Linked DNA regions of Saccharomyces cerevisiae S288C. The protein of the gene in region 1 interacts with the protein of each later gene in a biochemical or structural test. Each region holds a gene or a part of one and is shown in the gene's direction. Other genes may lie near its edges.

Evidence for each region.
Region 2: the proteins of SEC21 (region 1) and MST27 form a complex in vitro, tested with the Saccharomyces cerevisiae proteins (one study listed by BioGRID).

What each region holds. Positions count from the first base shown.
Region 1 is NC_001146.8:89,022-96,709, forward strand, and holds SEC21 (coatomer subunit gamma), read left to right. Parts: upstream 1-2,972; coding exon 2,973-5,780; downstream 5,781-7,688. Other genes in the region: CCR4-NOT core subunit CAF40, read left to right, coding at 1,282-2,403; U2 snRNP complex subunit CUS2, read left to right, coding at 6,202-7,059. UniProt on the Saccharomyces cerevisiae protein: The coatomer is a cytosolic protein complex that binds to dilysine motifs and reversibly associates with Golgi non-clathrin-coated vesicles, which further mediate biosynthetic protein transport from the ER, via the Golgi up to the trans Golgi network.
Region 2 is NC_001139.9:402,153-405,558, forward strand, and holds MST27 (DUP240 family protein MST27), read left to right. Parts: upstream 1-1,534; coding exon 1,535-2,239; downstream 2,240-3,406. Other genes in the region: pheromone-regulated DUP240 family protein PRM8, read left to right, coding at 437-1,150. UniProt on the Saccharomyces cerevisiae protein: Involved in protein trafficking vesicle formation, probably by stabilizing of coatomer at the Golgi membrane and thus allowing the efficient formation of COPI coated vesicles.

The sequences.
Region 1 (7,688 bases):
TGCAGAAGTTTTCTCTCAGTGGTTTATGTTTTACATATGATAGAAAAAATGAAGCAATAGCAAAGTATCGTAGTGCGAACCGGTCTCGTAACTTTGATAAGTTTATCAAAGGCGTTAACATTTTGTTTCGTAATAGTACCTTAACACATGACGAAGATGAAAATTAAACATGAATTCAAGGAAAAATGGTAAATGACGAGAAAAAAGCTGTGCACCAGTCTGAACATGGATGCCACAAGTACTCAGGTGTCCTATGAAGCATTAAGTATACCCAAATTTCTGATCCATTTTCCTTTATTTTCTTTTTTTTTTTTCTCTCACATCTGTGACTGTATTATGAGCAAACTGTTTACGTTGAACGGAATCGATATGTAAATTAAATCTTTTGAAATATGTAGGACAGTGCTTGTATAGGTCTGTTAAGTAGATTATAGAATGTACGCCTTTTTTCTGGGCGTGAAATAGATCAGAAATCCTGTTAGGTTGCCACTGGTCCATTTCAGTGTTGCTCATCCAATCAATCATGTATTTACATGCCTGGAGTGGCCTATTCTATGTATTAACAGCCTTTGCAAGACGCGACATTGTTCTTTCCGATATGGCTCGGAGTAGACTAAATATGCTACTTATAGTTTTTCTTGCGTATACCATTGTCTTATAGTTTTTGCACACATTAATGTTTAAAATTGAAACTACGAAGCAAAACAATAAAAAAAACAAACAAAACTTAAAAATAAACAAAAGACGCTCGAAACCAAGTGCATTTATTGAATGTTTTTGGGAATGCAAGTAGCAATACTATTGTAAAAGTACTACTATTTCCCTGTATCATACGCTTTTACTACTATTCCTCACATAAAGCGAGATGCTTACAGAATGCATAAGAGAGAGAAGAAAACCCTATTACGCCCACTTGTCTATATTAGATTACTGTCCCTATTTATATCATCATTGCAAAACGTGAGCACCTCATTAGACGTAGATTCTTGCATAAGTATTACTAGCAGGAGAGGAAAAACTCCACCCACACACCTCAACATGCTGAGAATTTTGCTGCGAGCAGCAAGAGGCAAAATCCAAATTTAAAGTAATTTACGCATAGAAGACATTGTAAAGGGATTGCAAAGACGTAGAGTACGCAAGTTAGAAACCGTTCATCTTTTAAAACTCCCAAGTTTTGACAAATTTGCGAGTGTGTGTGTTTCTGCTGATCTTGACGAGATTAAACTTTGTTCCTGAAGCAACAACGACAGCAACTGAACATCCTCTGAATAAGTTAATATGTTTTCCGCTCAAAAGCCAATATATGGCAATGGAGCAGGCGTGAACATGGGTGGTGGTGGTCCTTCAACTAATAATCCAGGATCTATGTCCATGCCTGGGGTTCCAACTTCAATGGGTCCAGGCATGAATCAACAAATTCCAAGTGGAGGCCCCATGCTAATGGGCAATACTCCGAATAATAATAATAGCAATGAAAATGGCGAGAACAACGGCAATAACGGCAATAACGGCGGTAACGATGCTAACGCAACTCGAAACAATCCCAACATGGTCAATAATAGAGGCGCAGTGCATGCTCTAGATGATCCCAATGTATACCACTGGATTTGTCAATTGACCTACGGCCCTCAAAAGGAACAAGCACTGCTTGAATTAGGTCGCAAAAGAGAACAGTTTGATGACCTTGCCGTTGTGCTTTGGTCTTCCTTTGGTGTAATGACCTCATTGCTGAACGAAATCATTTCCGTATATCCCATGCTGCAACCTCAGATGCTCTCTAACAATCTATCAAATCGTGTATGCAACGCTCTAGTTCTTCTACAGTGTGTTGCATCTCACCCAGAGACAAAACATCTCTTTTTACAGGCCCATATTCCTCTCTTTCTTTTCCCCTTCCTAAATACTACCTCCAGGCAAAGAACTTTTGAGTACTTGAGATTGACTTCATTAGGTGTGATAGGCGCATTGGTCAAAAATGACTCACAAGACGTAATAACGTTTTTGCTAAGAACCGATATCGTGCCGTTATGCCTAAGGATCATGGAATCTTCTTCTGAGCTTTCCAAGACAGTCGCCATTTTCATTTTACAGAAAATCCTACTAGATGACGTTGGATTGCAATACATCTGTGCCACCTTGGAAAGGTTCTACGCCGTAACTAATGTCTTAAAAGATATGGTTGAGCACTTGACCGTGAGCACACCACCGGGACGACTACTGAAACATATCATTAGATGCTACTTAAGATTAAGCGACGATCTCGAAGCACGCAGGCTATTGAAAATAGTCTTACCTGCCAAACTGAGAGATAACACTTTTACGGAAGTACTAAGAGACGACGTCGGGTCCAAGAGATGTCTGGCACAATTGCTACTGACATTAAACGAAGAAACCTCATGATGCATCCCCATAGATATATTACTGTTTTTCTCTTTCTATTTTCCTGTATTGTTTTAACCTTGCCTTTTTGTTTTAGTTTCACTTCCTCACCTCTCCTAATTTTGTATAGTTATATTTATATGCATGAAATGTATAAAGTCCACTCATATTTCAGAATGGTTTAAGTTAAGTGCCAGAAGGTTCTTCTGTACTATTACTATTACCCATTTTTCATCCTATCACCCGGAATGTACCCCTTGTGTCATTCACTACGACGCCACGAACCACGATTCTATTTTTTTCGAAATCTAAAGGTTTCGTCAAGATCAATGAAATATACATAGGCGTTTTTTTGGATACGAGTTGCATTGTTGAGAACACAATTCTTTACAAATAAGTGCAAGGGAGGAATTGTGTGTGCTCATTACCAACGTACTTCTTCAGTTATTCTGCTAAACCCGTTTTTTTGTTCTTAGCTTCATCCAGGTGAGCCCGCAAACATTACAGAACGACGTATAATACAAAATAACTAAACAAATACGGATAGGACAAAAGCCAAGAAGCGATACTAAATCACAGAGCGAATCAACATGTCTGCACATACTTACAAAAAGTTTGAAAACTCGACCTCGGGCGATTTACCTGATAAAATGACCATTTATCAGGATTGTATGAACACGTTTAACGAATCACCTGTCAATTCCAAGAGATGTCGTTTATTGATTTCTCGCTTGCTGAGACTCTTGGCCCAGGGCGAAACCTTCCCACAGAATGAAGCAACTGCATTATTTTTCTCTATCTCCAAATTATTTCAACACCAGAACGATCCTTTAAGGCAGGCTGTTTATTTGGCAATCAAGGAATTGAGTGGCATTTCGGAGGATGTGTTGATGGCAACCTCTTCAATCATGAAGGACGTTCAAAACGGTTCCGATTTGATTAAGCCTGACGCTATTAGATCGCTGACTTATGTCTTGGATGAATCTACTGCTTTTTCCGCTGAAAGGTTATTAAAAAGTGCCGTGGTAAGTAGACATCCTTCAATATCCTCAGCAGCATTATGTACTTCTTATCATTTGCTGCCCATTTCAGAAGTCACTATCAGAAGATTCACCAATGAAACTCAAGAAGCTGTTTTGGATTTGAAACAATTTCCAAATCAACACGGTAATAGCGAATATTATCCAAACTCCACTTATATTTCTCAATATCATGCTCTTGGGTTGCTTTATCAACTGAAGAAAACTGATAAAATGGCGTTACTAAAATTGGTTAGACATTTCTCTGAAAACAATTCTATGAAAAATCAATTGGCCAAGGTAGAATTGGTCAAGATTGTCAACGATTTGATTTATAGGGATCCTCAATTATTTAGTCAATTCAGGCCACTTTTGTCTGATTGGCTATCCAACAAGTTCGAATCTGTTCAGTTGGAAACGGCGAAATTGATTACTTCTTTCGCTACTCGCAATTCCCGCTTAGTGGCTCCCGAGTTATATGCGGCAGCTATCAGTGCTTTACAGTCCTTACTGACCGTTCCTCGTGTTTCTTCTAGATTCGCTGCATTGAGAATCTTAAATAGAATATCCATGGTTTCACCAGAAAAGATTGTTGTTTGTAATCCTGAACTAGAATCTTTAATTAATGATTCTAATAGAAACATTTCTACTTATGCAATCACCACTTTATTGAAGACAGGAACTTCCAAAAATATTTCATCTCTGATTTCGACTATTACTAATTTTATCCATGATGTCAGTGATGACTTTAAGATCATTATTATTGACGCCGTTCGTACGTTGTCTTTGAACTTCCCACAGGAATGGAAGTCAATTTTGAACTTCTTAATCGATGTTTTGAAAAATAGTGAAGGTGGATTCAAATTTAAAAACAGTATTGTCGAAGCATTAATCGATATTGTTTCATTTGTTCCACAGTCTAAAGAACTCGCCTTAGAAAACTTGTGTGATTTCATCGAGGATTGTGAATTCAACGAAATACTAGTGAGAATACTACATCTTTTGGGTAAAGAAGGTCCATCTGCCCCAAATCCATCATTATATGTTAGACATATTTATAACAGAGTGGTGTTGGAAAATTCTATTATTAGATCTGCTGCCGTTGTAGCTTTATCTAAGTTTGCTTTGACGAAGAACGATCCTACCTTATATGAGTCAATCATAAGTTTGTTAAAGAGAATCGCTAATGATAAAGACGATGAAGTCAGAGACAGAGCCACCATTGCACTAGAATTCATTGATTCGGCTAGGAATAAAGATGATGTTATAGCACAAAATCTAATCGAATCCAAATATTTTTACGATATTCCATCATTAGAGTCAAAATTAAGTTCTTACATTTCCTCAAATACTGATTCATTTGCAACTGCATTTGATGTGAATCAAGTTCGTAAGTTTACTGAGGATGAAATGAAGGCAATAAATCTGAAGAGAAAGCAAGAACAAATTTTCAATCAAAAGTCTGAAACCACTTTGGATACTACACCAGAGGCAGAGAGTGTTCCAGAAAAAAGAGCTGACGCTAATTCATTTGCTGGTCCAAACTTGGACGACCACCAAGAAGATCTACTAGCTACTAAGTACGCTGACGAATTGCTATCCATTGAACAAATTAAACCATTTGGTCAATTAGTAAATAGTTCTAGGGCTATCTCATTAACTGAGCCAGAAGCAGAATTCGTTGTACGTGGTGTCAAACATCTCTTCAAAGACAATGTTGTTTTACAATTTAATATTACGAATACTCTGACGGATATTGCCCTAGACAATGTTTCTGTAGTCTGTACCCCTGAAATTTCTGATGAAGCTGAATTAGAAGAGCTATTCACCCTACAAGTGGACAGATTATTACCATCCGAGGAAGCAGCTTGTTACGTTGCATTCAAAAAACTTGATGAAATTGTAATGGAAGGTTTCTTGAACAACTTAACATTCACTACAAAAGAAATAAACCCTGACACTAATGAGCCATTTGATGGTGATGAAGGTTTCCAAGATGAATATGAAATTGACTCGATTTTCTTGAATGCTGGTGATTATGTTAAGAGTTCTTTCACTGGTAACTTCTCCGCTACATTTGATGAGTTGCCATGCGAAGAAGTTGCTGTTTTCAACATTCAAGAAGATTTATCCATACAAGAAGTAGTAGATAAGATTATTTTGAACAGTAGCTGCTTACCGGTGGAAAGTACCCAATTTGCTCCAAGTGATTCAAACTCCCACACCTTGAAATTATTTGGTAAGAGTGCTTTAACTGGATCTAAAGTAGCCCTACAGATTAAGATGATCAAGAGTTCGAAAGGTCTTGCTTTGAAAGTTCATGGTAAAGGTGAAGACAGCTTATTATGCTCTGATCTGGTGAATGGTCTAATGCAGTAAGCTGTGAAATTTTATTTCAGTTAATCCCTTCTTTTGTTATCAATAGTATTAAAAGAAATGCGTCAGCTTTAGCAAGCGTGCATGCAAATAAGGGAATGAACAGCAAGAACAATAATAAACCAAAAAAATCACGGATAGAATATGACGGATCATCACCACACGAAGAATAAATTATGTAATCTTTGTATAAACAAAATTTTTAAAGAAAAATACTATAATAGTTTGACAAGAGAAAACGAAATGGAAGAAACAGGACAACAGGGCAGAAAAAAGTTGACATTATGCAATTGATGAAAGAAGAAGAAGAAAAAAAACAAAAAAAAAGCACTAGTCTGACCAGGCATATTGTAAAAGGCTGCAGACCCTTGAACGCACTACACTTTTCACTGTATTCCGTTACCAACATTACTGTTTGACAGCGATGGATGCTGATGAATTGGAATTGAAAGGTCATTTGAAAAAATTGAAAAAAGAAGAATTGCTTAGAAGGAAACAGTTAAAAGAGAGTAATCTTCAGAAAAGAGAGCTTGAATATAATAATGCCTCAAAAAATACTTCAATATATATTTCTGGTCTTCCCACAGACAAAACAACGAAAGAAGGACTCACTGAGCAGTTTTGCAAGTATGGAATGATAAGAACCAATCGAGATGGGGAACCCCTTTGCAAGCTATATGTGAATGATAAAGGCGCTTTCAAAGGGGATGCCTTGATCACTTATTCCAAGGAAGAAAGTGTTACATTAGCAATCGAAATGATGAACGAGTCGATCTTCCTGGGAAAACAGATCAGGGTCGAAAGAGCCCAATTTCAAAACAAGGAAGGTGACAATATGCACGGGAAAGAAAATGATTTAAAGGAGTTCAACGGACCTGAGCCTCCAATAAAGAGGCTAAAAAAAGCGAAGTCTGAAGGGGAGGGGGAAGTAATAGATTACAATGACGATGAAAGCCTAGCAAAAGCTGATCGAACGGTGATATTTGCCAACGTATTCAATATTTACAAATCATACACAAATGATGATATAAATGATATTCAGGAAGATCTTTTGGAAGGCTGTGAAGAGATAGGTCAAGTAGACAGTATATCTGTATCTCCCAATAAGGGGGAAGCGACGGTCGTCTTTAAGAACAATAAAGTTGCATTGCAATGTTGCAAAATCATGACCGGACGTTATTTTGATGGGCAAAAGTTGCTTGCTTTCATTTCTGGAGATGAGAACACTTCAAGCACAAGTGACAAGAATGAGGACAGCGAAGTGGAAGATGACCTTATATAGAACTGCAGTAAAAAAATGTATTACCCCCATATCTTTGGTACTTAAGTAAAATAAGTGAACACAATGTAATAAACAGAATGGATTAGGGCTTTATGACTTCCCAGTACAAAATAAATGTCGATATAATACTTGAAAATGCAAGCAATGCCATCAAAAAATTTGAGCGGTACGAGAATCGAACCCGTGTCCCCACCTTGGAAGGGTGGGATGATAACCACTACACTAACCGCCCATGTGTTGGATGGTGTAACTGTAATGACGAGGTAATAAGTGATGGCGACTATATCACCACCGAAACACAGCGATTACTTAAAAGGGTAATCACTACTGCGATTCTAATTGTTGGAATAAACCAAACCTCTTCCGATAATGTTGGAACGAGAGTAATTAATAGTGACATGTGTTGCTATGGTAACAATCTAATGCTTACATCGTATATTAATGTACACCTCGTATACGTTTAAGTGTGATTGCACCTATTGCAGAAGGAATGTTAAACGAGAAGCTCAGACAATACTGAAGCTGTGTTTGAGAAATGGGTGAATGTTGAGATAATTGTTGGGATTCCATTGTTGATAAAGGCTATAATATTAGGTATACAGAATATACTAGAAGTTCTCCTCGAGGAT
Region 2 (3,406 bases), on another chromosome or scaffold:
GTATGTAGAAATATAGATTCCATTTTGAGGATTCCTATATCCTCGAGGAGAACTTCTAGTATATTAGGTATACCTAATATTATAGCCTTTATCAACAATGGAATCCCAACAATTATCTCAAAATTCCCCCAATTCTCAACATCCGACTGCCATGCAATGTGCTTTTCTGGATCTCACTCATGATCATAATGGCCCTGTAAAAGGCTCGTACTGTTATTATCATATCTTCAATTACGTATTATTTCGGAGGCTGTACCTATTAGTGAAATAACGCCTCTAAAAATGAAAAGAAGAAAAAGAATATGAAAGGGGTTCTGAATTGCTAAAATATTTCGTCAAAGCTCAATTAGTATCAAGATCAAGTCGTAATTCGAATCAGCATAACAACCTCCAAAACCATATAATAACCTTACACAAGACAAGATATCAATTCAACATGCAAACCCCTTCAGAAAATACCAACGCCAAGTCGGATTCTCTCGACGAACCCGGTGCATATTTAATCGAGGAAAATGTGGCTCTTCCTAAGGACATATTCCATTCGTACTTGAGTTATTGGATATATGAAGCAGCTCACTGTACACCGGTCATGCTTTTGTCTCTAGTAATTGGGGTTTTAATCTCAATAATTATTCTTTTTCATGATAACGAAAATTGCGTTGGGGTTTCTGTAGGGTTTCTCCTCATATTCTCTGGCATTTTAGTGATAGTTCTAATACTCAGGTTTGGACCACAGATCAGTGATGAAGATTTCAAATGTAAGCTACTGATGGAAATTATCACACGGAAACCTACGGTAAAGGGGAAAGAATGGAGGACAATTACATACAAGATGAACCAGTATTTATTTGATAACGATTTATGGAACACTCCCTACTACTTTTACCGTGATGAAGATTGCCACCGTTATTTTCTAAGTCTTATTAAGGGAAGAACTTTCAAGAAGCAAAAGGAATCGTCAGCCAGCAATGTTAAAGACGCACAATCAAATGACGAAACCGCTGGCACACCAAACGAAGCCGCTGAGTCTTCTAGTTTTAGTGCCGGACCGAACTTTATAAAGCTCCTCACCAAGGCAGCCGAAATCGAACAACAATTTCAAAAGGAATATTGGCGACAAGAGTATCCTGGTGTCGATGAGTTTTTTTAGACAGAAGACGGGAGACACTAGCACACAACTTGACAAAGGATCTACTTCTCGATTGACGACACTAGTAGGTGTCAAATTTAGTGTCATTTATGATTTTTTGTAATAGGATATAAATATATACGGCGCTCCAAATAATGCAGTTGCCCCAAAAACACCACGGAACCTCATCTGTTCTCGTACTTTGTTGTGACAAAGTAGCTCACTGCCTTATTACCACATTTTCATTATACATCACTTCGCAAAATGCAATATTGAAAATGCCTCTAGAGATGAAAAACAATCGTGAAAAGGGTCCTGCGTTATTAAAACATTTGATCAGTATGCAATGGCACAGAGACAATCAGGAATACTATAGTCATAGACGATACAAGGTATATATTGGTCATGCAGACCCCTCTAGAAAGTACCGACGTCAAGTTAGATACACTCAACGAACCTAGTGCACATTTAATTGAGAAAAATGTGGCTCTTCCTAAGGACATATTCCGTTCGTACTTGAGTTATTGGATCTATGAAATCGCTCGCTATACACCAGTCATGATTTTGTCCCTGGTAATAGGGGTTTTGGTTTTATTAATTATATTTTTTAATGACAACGAAGCTTGTGTTTTCAATTCTGCATACTACGCTTATCTTTCTCTTGTAGTATTGTTAATAATATTAGGTGATGGTAATCCAAAGCTAGTCAGTCGTCGAAATTTTAGGACCGAGCTTTTAGTGGATGTCATCACACGTAAACCGGCAGTAGAAGGGAAAGAATGGAGGATCATCACATACAACATGAACCAATATTTGTTTAATCATGGGCAATGGCATACTCCGTATTACTTTTACAGCGATGAGGATTGCTACCGTTATTTTCTACGCCTTGTTGAGGGAGTAACCCCCAAGAAGCAAACAGCCACGTCAATTGGCAATTCTCCGGTCACCGCTAAGCCTGAAGATGCCATCGAGTCAGCTTCTCCTAGTTCCAGACTGAATTATCGAAACTTTTTGCTCAAGGCAGCGGAGATCGAACGACAAGCTCAGGAAAATTACTGGCGAAGGCGGCATCCCAATATCGATGCGCTTCTTAAAAAGACGGAATAGCTTAGAGACACTGCCATACGTAAAGCGAACATAAACTAGAGTATGATATATAATCAGCACTAACTGGCCCGAAAACGGCCGAAGAAGCCTCGAAAAGTCGATTCGTGTTGGACCCATTTGCTGAACGAAGTGTTCATTGCCTACCTATTATGGTAGTAGTCGTGATAATCGTGTGGTTGGTTTTGTCAACGGTGCATTTGCATTTTCATGACAATAAGCCTTGCGTTTTCGTTCTCGGGATATTACTTTCCCCCCACTTCTTTCGCCTCGATAGCTCCTATAAGCATTCTCAGGGCGTATGTCGGTGATCGAGATTTCCAAGCAAGCTTTTAGTGGAAATCATCGCGCGCAAGCCAGCGGTAAAGGGAAAAGAACGGAGGACGATTACATACAAGATGAACGAATAAATAAATTAATAATAAATAATAATAGAAAGTACAGTAGCATTAAATATTATTAAGTTTAATGATTAAAAATTGGTTAATTGTCAAGAAAATCTAAGGTATTAATAAATAAATAATACTATGACAACTTGCAGCGAAACGATCAGCCCCAATGAAAATTAATCAGAATTGAATTTGAGCGTATCTATTTGATAACGGTTTACGTAACTGTTGGAATAAAAATCAACTATCATCTACTAACTAGTGTTTACGTTACTAGTATATAATCATATACGGTGTTAGAAGATGACGGCAAATGATGAGAAATAGTCATCGTTTTCAATGGAAGCTGAAATACAAGGATTGATAATTGTTGGAATAAAAATCAACTATCATCTACTAACTAGTATTTACGTTACTAATATATTATCATCAAAATTCACCCACTCTTCAGTTACTTATCTTATATATTATATAAAATATGAATCATACTAAGTGGTGGAAGCGCGGAATCTCGGATCTAAACTAATTGTTCAGGCATTTATACTTTTGGGTAGTTCAGCTAGGGAAGGCCGGGTTTTATCTCATGTTGTTCGTTTTGTTATAAGGTTGTTTCATATGTGTTTTATGAACGGTTGAAGTATTGTCATACTGACGCTTCTGATTTTGAGATTCAACACTTCCAACAAACAGTAGCTCGCGTGGCGTAATGGCAACGCGTCTGACTTCTAATCAGAAGATTATGGGTTCGACCCCCATCGTGAGTGCTTTTTTTGAATAAGCT